Tamandua tetradactyla: one gene and its partner. The protein of the gene in region 1 purifies or fractionates together with the protein of each later gene. This does not show direct contact. Links are inferred from orthologs where the notes say so. Each region holds a gene or a part of one and is shown on either strand. Other genes may lie near its edges.

The links.
Region 2: the proteins of JOSD2 (region 1) and AHCYL1 purify together in Homo sapiens (affinity purification with mass spectrometry; 4 studies listed by BioGRID and IntAct, counting the BioPlex papers as one, with this or other methods). This does not show direct contact. The link is inferred for Tamandua tetradactyla from reciprocal best matches to the Homo sapiens genes JOSD2 and AHCYL1.

Annotation. Positions count from the first base shown.
Region 1 is NC_135342.1:10,717,614-10,725,479, forward strand, and holds the start of JOSD2 (josephin-2), read left to right. Parts: upstream 1-4,807; 5' UTR 4,808-4,940; exon of another isoform or gene 4,941-4,982; intron 4,983-5,068; exon of another isoform or gene 5,069-5,353; intron 5,354-5,579; 5' UTR 5,580-5,596; coding exon 5,597-5,742; intron 5,743-7,017; coding exon 7,018-7,143; intron 7,144-7,849; coding exon 7,850-7,866. Other genes in the region: ASPDH (aspartate dehydrogenase domain-containing protein), read left to right, coding at 2,195-2,249, 2,493-2,637, 2,896-2,980, 3,086-3,235, 3,317-3,537, 4,311-4,521. UniProt on the Homo sapiens protein: Cleaves 'Lys-63'-linked poly-ubiquitin chains, and with lesser efficiency 'Lys-48'-linked poly-ubiquitin chains (in vitro). May act as a deubiquitinating enzyme.
Region 2 is NC_135337.1:12,940,220-12,947,984, forward strand, and holds the start of AHCYL1 (S-adenosylhomocysteine hydrolase-like protein 1), read right to left. Parts: upstream 3,236-7,765; 5' UTR 3,191-3,235; coding exon 3,071-3,190; intron 1-3,070. UniProt on the Homo sapiens protein: Multifaceted cellular regulator which coordinates several essential cellular functions including regulation of epithelial HCO3(-) and fluid secretion, mRNA processing and DNA replication.

The DNA of each region.
Region 1 (7,866 bases):
CGCCCGTCACCCCCACCCCGCCCTGGCCCTAACCTGCTCCACAGACTCTTTTGATACTGAAGGGAGGTTTGCGTCGACTACCTGCTCTGTAATTACTTTAAAAAAAAGAAGAAGAAAAAAACCACGGAAAAAAGTAAAAATAAATAATTTGTTTTGGTGGGGGGGTCGTGAAAGTATGGAGGAGAGAGAGAGAACGAAGTGGACGCAGGGTGGAGAGCAGAAGGACAGAACGGGAAACGAAAAGGTCCACAGGGGCTCAGGGGACGAGGCCTTGCCGGGTGGTCCCAGGCCCCTCCACTGTTCCCAGCCCTGGTCTGGACCGCCCTCTGGCCCCCGCCGCCCACACCGCGTAAGGAGGAAGGGGGCGCCTGGGGAGAGTGGCCGGCTGCGGCACTGGGAGCACGGGGCACCTCTGCCTCGTTTCTAATGCAGGCAAGGGCCATGGCCTGGGGGGAAAGGGACAGGGACAGGCCCTCGGAAGGCCTGGAGCTGGCGAGGACGAGTCAAGAGTGGACTCAGCTGAAACAGGCAGCTGTTGGGGTGGGGTGTGGGGTCTCCAGGGACCCCAAGGTGGCCATGGTGCAGCCTCAAAGAGGGGCCCAGCAGGCTGCCATTGGGTACGGCCCCGACAGAAGCAAGGGCGTGACCAGCACCAGCACTGGGCCTTCGGCACCCTCCTGTGGGGGGACGCTGGTGGGGAGACCCCCATCCAAGGAGAGTCAGGCCCTGACTAGGGCGGCGGTGGGTGCCGCCCATGTTCTCCCCTCGCCGTGGCACAGCCTGTCCCGCCCTGCGCAACAGTCCCGGCCCAACATCGGGGGCACCCAGGCCGTGGTCAAGGCGATGACATCCCAAGGGCGCCAGGTGGGATGGTCCCACCAGCCCCCCACCCCCAGCATCTCATCCCCCCCCCCAGGGCTCTTGAAGCCAGCCACCCTGTGCGCCCCTGCAGGGAAGTGCCCTGAGGTGTGCCTGTCTGCTCTCGCCGCCTGTCCGCTCAGGACCCTCCATGCCCGCGCTCGGCTCCCCCTCTCTCTTTCTTTCTTTCATGCCCTTTCTCGCGGTTCTCTTTCAGCGCGGATCCTGGTTGCCATAGCAACGCTGCAGCGGGTACCAGGTGGTGGGGGGGGGCAGGGGAGCCGCGCTGCCGCAGCCTCCGCCATTTCCGATGCCAGGCGCCCGGAGGCGCAGGCTGGGGCTCGTTCTAAGGGCACGTGGGGTCTCCCCAGGCCACCGAGCCTTCTTGGGCCATGGGAGGCGGGAGGCGGGAGAGGGCCGGGTGGGAAGGAAATGGGGCTGAGAATACAATCCAGAGGAACCTGTGGCCTCGCAACTGGGGGAGAGGAGAGTGACAGGTGTAAAGTGAAGGTGAACTGAAGGATGGCGGGACTGATGGGAGAGAGGCTCTGGGGAGGAGGTGTGGGTGCCGGGGGCGGGGGGTGCCCTGGGAGACTGGGCCCACAGAGGCAAGGGATCGCAAGCTCCTGTTTCTTCTGGGAGGGACTGGGACAAGGGCCAGGCCAGGCCTCCTGCATAGTTTGGCAACCCGGGGTGGAGTGCAGCTGGGGGTGTGGGGTTTGGCTTAGGACAGGGATGCAGGGATGGGGGGCACGGACTTGCAGGCCACGCCAAGAGGCAGTGGGAGGAGGGGATGGGGGAGATGGAAACTCAGGGAGAAGCTGAAGGCAACAGAACTAGAGAGAGAAGAGAGACAGAGGAAGGGAGGTCAGAGATGGAGACCTGGAGAGAACCAAGCGGGGAGAAATGGGAGGGGTGTTGGGAGGACACCCACATGCGCCAGGACAGAGCCCACAGTCCCTTGCCACTGTCTCCTCTCCTCCCTCCCGATCCTCTCGACTCCCACCCCAAGCAGGATGCAGTTTCCATGACAACCTGGCTGGCCCAAAAGGAGGGCGGGGGACTGCAGAGGAAATTTTCCACATCAGCAGGAAGGGAGGAGGGTATGGAGTGAAGCAAAGAACGGCCAGGATAAAGTGGGAGCCCTGGAGTCCCAAATCACTGTGTCCAATGCCCTCGGGAATGCAGGGGAGGATTCTCACCCCGATGCCACCTCTGCGCTGCTGCCTGGGAAGGCTCAAGGGTCAAATGTCCAAAGATCAGTGGCTGCCCAGGCCTCTGAGGGGGTTAGCAAGCAGCTGCGGGAGCACGGACCACCAACCCCCCATCCAAAGGCATGGCTCTCGACGGCGCCCCACGGAGGGTGGGGGTGGTGGGCTACGGCCGCCTGGGTGAGTCCTTCATTCTGGGACCTCCTTCCTAAAGCACCAGAGCCCCATCCCCGTCGGACACACTTTCTTTCATCTGTGGCCTTTATCTGCCTGTCTGAGCACCTCCCTCCCACATCCCCCTCTGGGTCTCTGTCCTGCGCTCTCTAGACCTCTGGATCCCCATCTGAGTCTTCGTCCCCCTCCCTCTGGGTCTCTGTCCCCACCCCACCCCCAACTCTACCGTTCTCCTTTCCCTCTTTCCAGGACAATCACTTGTCTCTCACCTGCTGGCTCAGGGGCCAGAACTGGGCCTAGAACTTGTTTTTGTCTGGAACCGGGACCCAGGACGAATGGCAGGGACTGTGCCCCCCTCGCTGCAGCTCCGGAATCTCGCTGACCTTGGGGAGAGGTCAGTGATCTCCTGGTGGCAAAGGGGGACTCTCTGAAGCTTCCCTTCTGATCTCACATGGCGTCTGTGTGAACTCAGGCGAGTCCCTTGCCCTCTCTGGTCTTTGGGTCACACAAACATAAAATGTGACAAGCCCAGCTTCCCCATTTCCCCTGCCAGGCCAGGGTGAGGGGCCGACCTCTGTAGACTATGAAGGAATCTGGAGGTGGGGAGACCCAACTCCTCTCCAAGGCCCTCCTCGTCTCTCCCCTCCCCCAGGCACCCCAATCTCGTGGTAGAAGTGGCACACCCCAAAATCATCCAGGATTCTGGGGCACAAATCCTACGTCATGCCAATCTCCTGGTGAGCCTCACCCAAACCACAACCTCAGGCCCCTGCCCCTCCCCCCTTCCCACCTACCTCCCTAAAGCCTGGGCCTCAACCCCACCCCTCCTTCACCGGCCCTAGGTAGGGTCCCCCTCAGCCCTGGCTGACCAGAACACGGAGCAGCAGCTCCTGGAGGCCTCCCACCACTGGGACCATGCTGTGTTCGTGGCTCGGGGGGCCCTGTGGGGCACTGAGGACATCACCAGATTGGATGCGGCTGGGGGCCTTCAGGTGAGGCCCACTGGGCTCCCAGAAACTGGAGGGGGTCTGCAGACCCCCAGGCCCTGCCTTGACCCTGGCTGTTGCTTCCAGAGCCTCAGGGTCATCATGGCCACGCACCCTGACAGCTTCCGGCTTGAGGGACCTCTGGCTGCAGCCCAAAGGCCTGGCTCTCGCACAGTGCTCTATGAAGGCCCCGTCCGTGGGCTGTGCCCCTTGGCCCCCCGAAACTCCAACACCATGGCGGCCGCTGCCCTGGCCGCCCCCAGCCTGGGCTTCGACCGTGTAATCGGGGTGCTTGTGGCCGATCTCAGGTGAGCCGAGCTGAGCAGGGGGTGCAAGGGCCAGGCGGGCCAAACTGACCTCCCTGTTTGCCCCAGCCTGACAGACATGCACGTGGTGGAAGTGGAGCTAAAGGGTCCCCCGGGCCCCACAGGGCGCAGCTTTACCGTGCACACCCGCAGAGAGAACCCTGCTGAGCCTGGAGCAGTCACCGGCTCTGCCACTGTCACCGCCTTCTGGCGCAGCCTTCTGGGTGCGGCCAGGTCCCTCCCTAGAGCCAATGGCCCCTTCTCTAGGAACCTGTCCTCTACAGAGCTTAGGGTCTTGGGCTCTGTCCAGTTCTGCAATTCTATCTCTGTGGAAAGTCTTTATTTCTCAGTATCCTTAACTGCCCCCCCTCCACATCACTGAATCTTTGTATGTATCTATGCCTGCTGTGTCCCTCCCCCGAATCTCTGCTCACCCCCTCCAATCTGGGACGCTCTCCCTCTCTCTCTCTCTCTGTGTATCTTGTCCACTCACCAGGTCTCTGTCCCCTCTGGGTCTCTGTCTCCCTCTCTATGGATCTCTGTCCCTCATTCTGGGCCTCTATCTCCCTCTCTCTATATTCTGGGTCTCTGTCCCTCTATGGGTTTCTTCCCCCTTCCCACCCACCCCCAACTTTGATTTCTCTCTCTAGGGGTTTCTGTCCGCCCTCCTCCCCCACCCCGGTTCTCAATCCTTTCTCTCTGGGTGGCCCCCACCCGACTCCAGCTGTCCGTCTCTCCTTCTGCCTCAGTCTTTAATTCCCATCTCTCCTCTGCAGGCTGCTGCCAGTTCCCCTCCAGGCCCGGGATCCATCTCTGCTGAGAAGCCTCCACGAACCCGGGACTTCCTCGTGTCATTTCCCTCCCACCACCACCTTCCCACTCCCGTGCTGGTCTCTGTTCCCCCACACCTCCCTCTGTCGCAGTAAAGCTCCCAGGCCCCCCTCCCCGCATGGTTTTGATGTCGGTGGTCTCGATCCCTTCCTGTGACGTCACGCTGCGACTGCGCACTGCATGACGCCATCGCGGGAGGCGGTGTAAAACTCATGGAAGCTATCGCCAGAGCCTTACGCACTACGTCTCCCAGAAACCTCTGAGAAGCGGGGGACGTAGTCTTGCGCTGGTTGTGAGCGGGGAAGGGACTCTGGGAGGTGCGTTTCCGGGATTCCCCGCAGGGCCGACGGGAGTTGTAGTCCCGTATTCACTGGAGGCGACAGTGGACTTCCCGACCAGGTGGCTCCGCCGCGGCCGCTGGGAGTCGTAGTCCGGCACGCGGGGGCCGCCGGGATCTGTAGTCCGTCCCGCTCGCCCAGTCAGCGCCGAGCTACCCGCCCCGCACTCGAAGCTCAGAGCCGCGGCCCAGGGTGATGCTGGAGCCCCTGGCTCGGGGGATCGGAACGGCAGGCGGGGTGAGGGGCATTGCCAGGCAGCGAGCGAGCGCCGCGGTTGGGGTACGGGTCGGGGAAGTGGCTCTATCACTTGGTTTTCGGGAAAAGGGCCTAGTTTTTTGGTGATAGGAGAAGAGGACCTTGTTGCTTAGGGGCTGGGGAGGGGACCCTGTCGCCCAGTGACAGGAGAAGAGAAGCTCTTTGTTCAGGGGAGGGGGAGTCTTCTGTTGCTAGGCGACCAAAAAAGACCCTGTGACTTAGAGACAGGGAAGGAGGATTCCATTACTAGGTAACCAGAGAGACTTGTTACCTAGTTGGGGGGGGTGGTCCTCCGTTGCTAGGTAACCAGAGAGGGATCCTGTTACCTAGAGACACGGGATGGGGTTCTTCTGTTGCTGGGCGACCAACCAGGGAGCCTTTTACTTATGGATGTGGTGAGGGTGGTCCTCTGTTGCTGGGGGGCTGAAGAAAGCCCTTATCTTAGGGACAAGGGATGGGGGTGCCTCTGTTGCCAGGACACAGCCCAGGGAGCAGGGTCCTCCTAGGCTGCCCTGAGCCTCTACCTTAATGACAGTGTCCCGAGGGCCTGCTGGGAGGTAAGGCCTCAGCCCCTGGGCCTCCAGCCCCCAGCCCCTGAGTAGCCTCTACCCCCACCCCCAGCAGGAGCCGAGGGCGGCATGTCCCAGGCCCCAGGAGCCCGGCCGAGCCCGCCCTCCGTGTACCACGAACGGCAACGCCTGGAGCTGTGTGCTGTCCACGCCCTCAACAACGTCCTGCAGCAGCAGCTCTTTAGCCAGGAGGCTGCCGATGAGATCTGCAAGAGGTGGCCGCCACCCACCCTGATTTGGGTGCCTGGAGAAGCGGGGCTCAGAGGGCTCCATGACCCCACCCCTCTCCCCACCCCACCCCGGCTCTCAAAGCGAGGGGAGGCTGAGCCCTGGGAGGCCCCACTCAACCCGGTTTGGGCTGAACCCTGGGACTCAGAGGTGGAGATATTGCCTCCTGTACTTCTCCATCCCCATGGCCTCAGCCCTTGCTCAGGCTTCACTCTCCTTCACCTAGACTCTAATCCCTTCTGTTTTCTGGCCTCCCAGCCTCTAATCTCTCCCCTCCAGTACTTCCCATCTGAAGCTGGGAACCACCCTGCCCCTCCCCTGCTCACTGTCCTCCAGTAGCTCCCCAGCACCCCTAGGGGAAGTTCCCAGCCCTTCAGCCTGATATCCAGGGCCCCATCCGCCCCTGCAGCTTCCTCTCTCACTGCTTCTGTCCATCCAGACTTCTGTCTTGCTGATTGAGCCCCACTGTAAGATCTCTAGTTCTTTGCACATACCATTCTTTCTGCCCAGAATGGCCTCCTCTTGTCAGCCTTGCACATTCTTCTCACTGTTCAAGATTTTGAACATTGCTTCTTTATTACTCTCTGCACCATCTTCTCTGTTCTGTCCCCCCAGCCCCAGCCCCAGTTCAGGTCCCGTCCTTGCCTGACTGGGCCCTCACTCCAGTCTCCAGTCTCTCCCCTCCAGCCTGTCCCCCACTTGGCCCCTGAGCTGATGCCATCCTCTCTGCTGCTCACCGCCCAGCCTTGGCTCCCCAGCATCCTCAGAGTCCTAGTCCTTCAAACTGGTTATTCTATAATTTGTTCATATCCATCATTCAAGAGCAGGAATCAGTCAACTCTTTCAAGCCAGAGATGAGTCCGATACAAGCTCTGCCCTGGGGAAGCCTGCAGTCTAGCGAGTGAAAAAGATCCCAGCAAAATAATCCACAACCCAGATAGAGATCAGAGGTGCAGTTTTTCACAGGCAGCCGAGCTCAGAGAACAAGTGGTAACAGGATGGGCCTCCAGGGCTAGGGGAACAGCTGGAGGAAAGGCTGGGGGGCAAGAGCCCAGGAGATGTGTTTGGGGAACCGGTGGCTAAGGATAGGGTGGGGCTGCAGGTACACAGGCTCGAGGGACCAGACCAGGCAGGGCCTTGAAGTCCAGGCTAAGGGGGTCAAGACTATCTCCTGAGAGAGAGATAGTCTCCTGAGGACTTTGTAGGGAGGGTGAGGCCTTCCCAGGGGCCCCCAACCCAGGCTCTTACCACCCCTCAACCAGGTTGGCCCCAGACTCCCGCCTGAACCCTCATCGCAGCCTCCTGGGCACTGGCAACTATGATGTCAACGTGATCATGGCGGCCCTGCAAGGGCTGGGCCTGGCTGCTGTGTGGTGGGACCGGAGGAGGTAGGAGCCGAAGAGTGGCAGCACGCGCTGTGCTCCGTGAATGTGGGATGAAGCAGGGAGGAGGGGCATGGCAGATGAGGGGACAGAGGCAGGAACAGAGAGTAGATGAGTGGAAGGTTCGCAGAGGTGGATGGGTGGGTGGGCCGTAGACTGGTGGCTCAGCAGGTGGGTTAGAAGGATGAATGCAGTGGCAGTTTGGTCAGGGGGATGAGTTGATGGGGAGATCGATGGGTGGACGGATGGTAACTGGATGAGTAAGTGGGATGGTGAAGGGTGGTTGGAAGGTGCTAAATAGATGGTGGATGAGTGGTTAAGTCGTTGACCAAATAAAGGATGGATGGTTGGTAGTCAGGGAACAGCAGATAGGTGGTCGAGTGGTTGAATGGATGGGTCAGTGGGTGCATCAAAGGTGGATGGGTCAAGACTGGGTGAGGAGTTGGGTGGATGTTGGATAAGTTGTTGGGCAGGTGGCTAGCAGAATGGTGGACGGGTGGATGCTGTTTGGGGGAAGAGTGGATGGGGAGTTGGACTGATGTAGTGAAGTTATTGATGAACAGGTGGCTGGAGGGCGGGGCTTTGCCGGGTGGGTGCACAGGTGAGTGGAAGGAAACCAGGATCATGTTGAGTAAGGCTCAGAACCCTGCCCGGACCCCGCGTGCTCAGGAGGTCCTGACGGCAGTGTCCTCCCGCCCCCACCCCACCCCAGGCCCCTGTCCCAGCTGG
Region 2 (7,765 bases), on another chromosome or scaffold:
ATTGCATGAAATTTTCCTTTAGAACTTAGTTGTCAGGAAAAGCTGTCTTTCCGAGGAACTAGTATGTATTATTTCCCATGCCTGCTAATGAGATTATAGCCCTGTGATTCCCTTTTGTGCTCTGGTAGCTAGGAAGCTTAGAGTAGCATACAATGATCAGGCTCATCAACAACTTTAGCCCTCAGGGTTAAAATATTTCTTTCCTTCTTATTATATTTTTGACTTTCCTTCCTATTTATATTGTCTATACCTTCTGTACTCTAAGCCATCTCAGATGCTCTTAAAAACAGGAAAATATACCAGATATAAACAGACTTTTTTTTAAAGGCACACTTGCTATTTAGCTCCCAACATGTTCCTATCTCTACCTATTTCAAATAACAACTTATTTGTCAGATAAGGAAACTGCGGCACAGAAACTAATTTACTTAGGAACCTACTTAGTTGGCTTCTTGACAGCTAGATGGATCCTTGAATCAAACCAACAAGCCCTGTTACCTCAACAGCACTGTACTAGACCCCAGGGGCATATAAAACTGAGCAAATCATGATTATAGCAAAAGAATCCAGCTATCAATGCTTTTAATTGCAGGATATTCACTCTACCTAAATGAAGGCAGACAAGGTGAATTAACAAGAAAGCTCCTCTGAGATATGACCTGATTAAGGACCATCAAGGTCACCCTCAAGTAACCTGTACCCTCTCACTGGCCCCAGCAATGACCTCATTTCCTGAATGGCCTCAGGGTCTGGAATTATTCAAGAATTACTTGGTCTAAAGTCAAACTGCAATCCTCACAGGTGAGAGGCCCTTTTCTCATACCATTCAGTACCTGGCCAGGTTACTTTTTTTCCTTTTATTTTTCCCATGCTTTCTCACATCATCAACACACAGCAGAAGTAGACAAGTTACCTGAATCATAATGTCCAACTCAGCTGAAATTCTGAAAAACAAATTACCAAGGACTTGCTATGTGACCTTGAACTAGTACTCAACTGACCCATTAACTAAATAAATGGATTTCATCATCACCAGAGAAAGAGTAATTAGTCATTATAAAGCACTTTACTACAAAGTGCTGTGTAAATGCTAAACAATAAAGCTCAGAAAAAGTAAAACTAAAAACACAGGGGCACATTTACCAGCAAATGGTAACTCACAGCAGGGTCTTATCACATCCCCGGCAGAGACTGCTTCTTTCAACTAACGGAATACGAGTCTCTAATCATTAGCACTTGGCCTGACAAAAATACACATTAGTAATATTCCTCCTGGGAAGAGAGGAGGAATAGACAACCCTACTGACATCTCAGTTAATAGTTAGCCAAGCGGGCAATTAATAATTGAGTACTTCCTATAAGCTAGATACAGTACTGAGCACAATGGATTCAATGGTGAATGAGAGTCCTTGTCTTTATGAAAGTTTACAATCCATAATGCAAACTTTGTCTTATCAACAGTGGCACTGACAAGTAAGAATAAAGGTTTACTAAAAAAGGTAAGAATAAAGACACCCCAAACCCTGAAATGACTAGAAAATGGGGGGTGTGTGGGGGGGAAGAGTTCAGGGAATTAAGCATTTTCTCATTTTCCCCCTAACTCACCTAAGGTACTACTCACAAGAATTTTGCTTGAAAGAGCTGTGACTGTTTCTTCAAAGAACAGTGCAGAATACAAATACAGCCCCAACAAAGTAATCTGCTGAACTGAGAGCTCTAAAAATAAGGTTAATTACTCCTTAAAGTCAAGGGATCTTCAATATTTTAAAGACATTCTGTTGTTAAGATTTCAAGTTTTAGAGAAAACAAAGATAAAGTGCACTATGGTGACTTGTCTTTTCAATTTTGCATTTGCTTTCTGGAGTAGTAGATTAAATTTCTTTCTTTTTTTTTAAAGCCATGTTTCCAACTCAAGGTAGTTTAACTAGTTCAGGTGTAGGAGCCTTAAGAACTGTAACTATTCCTGCAAAACTTGAGCACTGCTTTCTATCAAACACTGCAGGCAGAGATAGCCTTGAAACACTCTCTTTATACTAGACTGAAATATTTATCCGGGTTCTCACTGGCTTCAGAAAGGTCACCTCTTTGCAAAGGTTCTCTGATCGACTGTTAACCAGGTGATGGGCATGAGTAAAGTCAAGATGAAGTTGTCAGCAAATGATCAGAAAGCTCTGGGGATCCCAATTCTATCATTCAAAGCGCTATTTAGACTACAACCTCCAAACGTTCCCATGTAGTCTTCCACAACAATAGAATAAGAGTGTCCTTTGAGCTCAACCCACGGTACAATAGACTAAACTTGTTCTGCCTTAATAAGTGCAGTAAAGAATGAGCAATCCTTCCCTACCACCCACCCCTCCAACCCACCCAAGCTCCTTTTTCAAGGGATGCCTAAGTGGTCTATTCACATGACTCCTGGATCAACCTGCATCCATGACAGTGTCTGCTGTCACTAACCTCCAAATGCTAATTTCTTACAGCTGTTGAAGCAACTGGAAGACCGCCGAAGGTGAAAATTAGAGTTTTCTTTTCAATCTCACACCGCCCTCATTGCCTTTATCTGCATAAAAAGAGCTGGGTCCACGCATTCTTTTCTCTTGTTATCACGCAGTTGCTGGATAAATCGGACCCTGATCCCTAAGATTCACCCAAAGAAGTGCTGCCAGATTTACACACTCACCTGAAGGGGGATTTTCTGCACCCCCCTCAACCCCCTCCCTCGGCCTGGTCAGAAGGGCCAGCTGAATTGATTCACTCCCTCCCACACCTGTCTTCGAGGCCTTTCGTCCTGGAAAAGTCAGCCGCAAATTTAAGACCCGGTCCTGTCGGGTCTCAAAAAGATCTCGGAGGACTACGGCCGAGGAACAAAGGAAAACGAAGTCAGGGGCGGCCTTTCCAGCCCGGGATGGGCCTGGGGCCGCTCACCGCTACCTCCCACACAACCTCAGCTGTCCGCGATCACCCGGAACCCTCTCCCCTAAAGTCCCGAACTAGCCGGAGCCCGGGCTGGCACTCGCTCGCGCCCCTTCCGCGAGGCCCAGGTCCCCGCTTGCACCCAGAGCCCCCGCACCTTCTTGGGCGCCTTGGTGACGGTGGCCATGAAGGAGTACTTCTCGGCGTCCTCGATCTCCTTGGCCTGCTTCAGCTCCTCCCCGACTCCGGGCAGCGGCATCGCGTCAGGCATCGACATCCCCCGGCCGGCCCGGCCCGTGGCTGACCCACCGCCCCCGCCTCCTTCCTCCGCGGGCGCCCGCCCGCCCGGCCGCCCGCACTGCGCCCTCCGACACGCGCTCGCCCACCCTCCCACCCGGTCCCACGCCGGGCTGCGTTCGGTTCTGAGGTGCTTTGGCCAGCGCCTCGTCCGCCGGGCAGTCTAACAGAGCGCGACAGCGACGGCGGCAGAAGGAACACCACAAGCAGCCGCGCGAAGCTCCGATCGGCCCGCGCCGCCACCTCCGACACACGCAGACACGCACGCAAAGTAAGGGCAGAGGGCGGTGACGCCACGACAAGTACTGGCAGCTCCGGGGAGGGGGAAGAGGCGGGGAGAAAGGGCGCGCTGTCGTGACGTCATCACGCTGGATTTGGATGCCGAAGCCTTCCCTCCTCGGTGGGGCTCTTAGGTGTACCAGGGTGAGCAGGACCCTTTGCGCCGCCAGATGGCGCCATCAGCCCTGCGAGCGACGTGTAATTCTTGCAAGGGTGACGTGGGGTGGAGGGTCTCTGGGCTGCAGGATTCCGGGCGACGTCTCTGAGAGGAGTAGGAGGGATACCTAGCAGAAAAGGCATGAACCCCAAAAGACACATTCTACGGCCATTCCTAGGAATAATCTGGGGCGCGGGACAGCCTACTCTGCCCAGTTTCTTTTGGACCAGAATTACCCTCTCCAAGGGCGGTGATGGCTCCTTCCATCACCCCATAGGGATTGGTCATAAGAAACTTTGGACAGTCTGATTTGTGTACTGTCCTTTCTGACCTCTTCCACCATTGTCCGCCTGGGTCTTACCTGTTTACGCGATCTCCAGGCCACAGAGGTGATTTCGCTGAAGTGGCCATTAGAATATCAGCTGATGGGTCCGCAGAGGGTCCCTGGCCTGAATGTTTTCCTCCTCGGTGTTCACCAAGCATTAGGCTCTGCTAGCTCTCGGTGGGCGCCCAGGGCACACGTGTGCCATTTGCACATTTTTACTGGGCCTTATCCTGTGCCAAGGCCCTGGAATGCAAAGATGAGTGTGACATTTTATGTTTTGCAAGGCTCAGTCTAGAGGGATAGACAGAGCCTGAATGGATCTGACATGTCAGCTAAGGTAGCTTGTCCTTTGAGATTCAAACTACATTGGCTACTGTGGAAAGTCCAATGTCCTCCCTGAAATTTTTGTGAATTACTGGGGGAACTTACATTTTCATGGTCAAGTCTGGCTCCAGTTTTCTGTCTTCTCTGAAGTTTTATTCATTATCCTGATCATGTGACTGCTTCTTTGACTCTTGCTGTCAATTCAGATATAGAACACAGCTTTTGTTCCTTTCAACCCCCACCCCTATCCCAAAGCAGACACAAAAATAAAGTTGTAACATGTAACAGAATTTTTAGCAAAGGTTTGTGGGTCACAGGGGAGAGGTTACATCACACAGTCAACAATTTAAAATCACATTTCTGAAATGTCCTGAGAAGTTATTTTGGCTATTTTGACACCCGGGATTTCTCACTGGCCACACTATTCTGCAAAGTTCCGTAGCCATTGCCATCTAATTTAACTCCCTCCTGTTTACTCCCCCCCATCCCTCTATCTCACCCTTTCTTTTCTGATTGACTCTGGGAAACCCGATTTTTCTCAACTATGCTGAGCAATGTGAGTCTTCTGGTGCCTTTCCCCTAAATTCCTCTCTGAATCCACCTTTTTATTTCCAGAAACCCACCGAGCCTTTAACAGGATCAATAATTCCAAGAAAGAAGTTATGGTTTGAAATAACATTTTTTCCACTGGTGTGTGCAATACTCTCCACTGGGTGCCCTGAAGTCTTAGTCGGAGAAGCCCACATTCTAACCATCCAGCTTGATGAGGCTCTTTGTTTGAAGTGGGCTGTGGAAGTGCCTAGAAGAAGGCAGACTTCTGCAGATCCCGGTTTTGAGCTTTTAGATAGATTCTCTTACATGCTTCTCTCATTGGCCCAGCCTTCAGAGCACCCAGACACCCCTTTCAGGGGCATTTTTCTAGCAGAAGGGCTTAGAGACAGAGGACCAGAATGTCAGATTCATCCATAAGCATGCCAGACTGTCATTTTTCTCCTCATCTCCCAGGTAGAGCCAAGAATCACACCAGCCTCACCCACAACTCTTTAAGGCCCGCAGTAGCTTTCAAGCTGTGGATTTGCCTGAATTGTTATCAGAGCCCAGGGATCAGAGATGCCCGCTTAAAGAACAGAGGCAGAGCCAGTTAGAACCAGGGATGAAAATTCCAAGTCCCTCGAATAGAAAGACACGCAACTTAGGATAGCTTATTCAAATTAAATTATTAAATTAAAAAGCATAGATGTGTCTATCTTTTGGATTTGATTTTGAAAACTTCCATTATCCAAAAGCTTCATCTTTCAGTTCCCCAGTTCAGCTATGCATCATGGCAGTCAGGTGGTGAGATTCAACCTTTCTTTGCCTCCTCCTAGACCAAAGTAACAGGCTTCCCCTCACACCGGTCTCCCAGCGTTGTCTGCACCACTGCTGCCGCTGAGGAGGGTGGAGCCTTGGGCCAGGACCAGAGGAGGCCATGCCTGAGCAGCTGGGGCCAAGAAGCTAGCAGCATGTCATTCTCCACTCACCTGAGACTGGGCCCGAGGAGAGGCTTGGTGGGTGAGGCTGATCTAAGGGAGCTGGGGGTACTTAGGCTGAAAGGCGGGAGGGGCAGCCCTCCCTGCCCTGGTGGAAGGGTAGCAGGCCTGTACGGTTCATGGCAGGCCAGGACCCAGAGGCGTTCTTGGCAACCTACCTGTTGCTGAGGACATGGGTGGCTGCCTGTCCTCCCCTCCCCACTCCCCATGTGTGGGCCAGAGATCAAAGAGCCCACCCAGCCGAGGAGTGCAGCGACATCACATTGATGAAGGCCATAGCGTGCTACCCCCACCACTCCGAAAATGGTTCCACGCAGCCCAGCTAAGGGGGGGGTCGCCTCACATGGATGTCAAGGAATGAGTGGTCTTCTGTCCATCTGCCCACCTCACTCAGAGTCTCTGCAAGCAGGCCCACCCTTCTGAACAGCTCAGTCCCACTCAGCTGATAGAGCTGTCCAGGGGCCAGAAAAGCAGAGACCCAAGGACAGGTACACCTGGTGTGTGTGGTGTGGTGAGGAAGTCTCCAAAGGGCCTGGACACCAAAGGGGACCCTGTTCTGGACAGGGGTGGGAGGAGGGGGTGGGAGATGCTGCCACCAGAAATGTAGTGGCCCTGCGGCCCCGCAGGTGAGCTTGGTATATGTGATCCATTTCACTCTTCTGTCCTCCTTCGCATTTACCCTCCACATTCACTTATTTGTTCGTTTATTCGTAAAATATATATTGACTGCTGAAGATGTTTCAGGAGCAGCACTCAATGTTGGGACTTAACAGAGAAAAATGCGACGAAGGCTTGATCTCTACCTGGAGTTGGGAGGGGGACTTCATAGAGGGAGATGCTGTCTGAGCTGACGCTTGAAAGCTAAGCAGCTGGACAAGGTAGGGGGGATTGCCAGGGTGAACGATCAGCAGGAGAAAAGGCAGGGCTATTGAAACGTCTTGCCATGATCTGGGAACTTGGTATGTGTTTCAGTGCAGGTGGGGCCCAGAGTGCAAAGTGGGGCAGAGGGAGCGATGAAGCCGAGGTCAGCTCACACAGGGCCCGGTGAGCTGTGGGTGCACGGGGGTGCCGTCCGCTGTGTTTGGAGGAGAAGCAGATCTGGGCGAAGGGACCACTGCGATAAGGAGCCAGCTTGAGTGGAGTTTGATACCTCTGCGGGGGCTGGGGGTGGGGGCACCGTCTCGGAGTCCCAGGGAGCCCAGGTTTTTGCCTTTCACAGCCGTCTGCTCCCTGCCAGCCTGACACCCTACCAGAGAGGGGCTTCGCTCTCCTGTGGGCCCTTCCCCTCCTCCAGGCCAGGCCCTCGTCAGCTACCAGATGAACAGTGCGGACACACTGCAGGAGGTCGTGGGTGACCGCGGCAGCATGGACACGGGCGAATGGCCCCACAGCGCTGCCTCCAGAACTCTGGGGTGGGCGTGTCCCCCTCTACATCCCAGGCTTCTCTCTGCCCCACCACTGCCAAGTTGCACAAATCTGGGAGGCATCACTGACATTGTCATCAACGTGAGGCGTGCCCCTGGAACGCAACTCCAAATTGGTAATCTGCCCCTCTGGCTCGAAGGAAAGCCCTGGGGAGGGCTGCCAGGCCCAGCTCTGGGCACTCACTCCCCAGACAGGCTGGATTCCTCCTTGCCACTGAGCTCCTTCCCCTCCCTTCTCTGTTGTTCCAGCCCTTGGGAGAAAATGGGCAGTCCCCTGAGACTGGGAAAGACTCTGTCTCCTCCTCTGCTTGTTTTTAATCACATTATTGTAATTATTTTGAATTTCCTTCTATTCGAAAGAAACCTTGTAAAGATAAAAGTCTCTTTATGTCTTTCTAAATTCACTCCTTATTCTTATCGATTTGTAAGAGCTCATTTTTACATACCTGTGATCACTGTGCACGGGTCATTTTGTGTTTTGCCCAATTTACTACATATTTCGAAAACACATCACCAC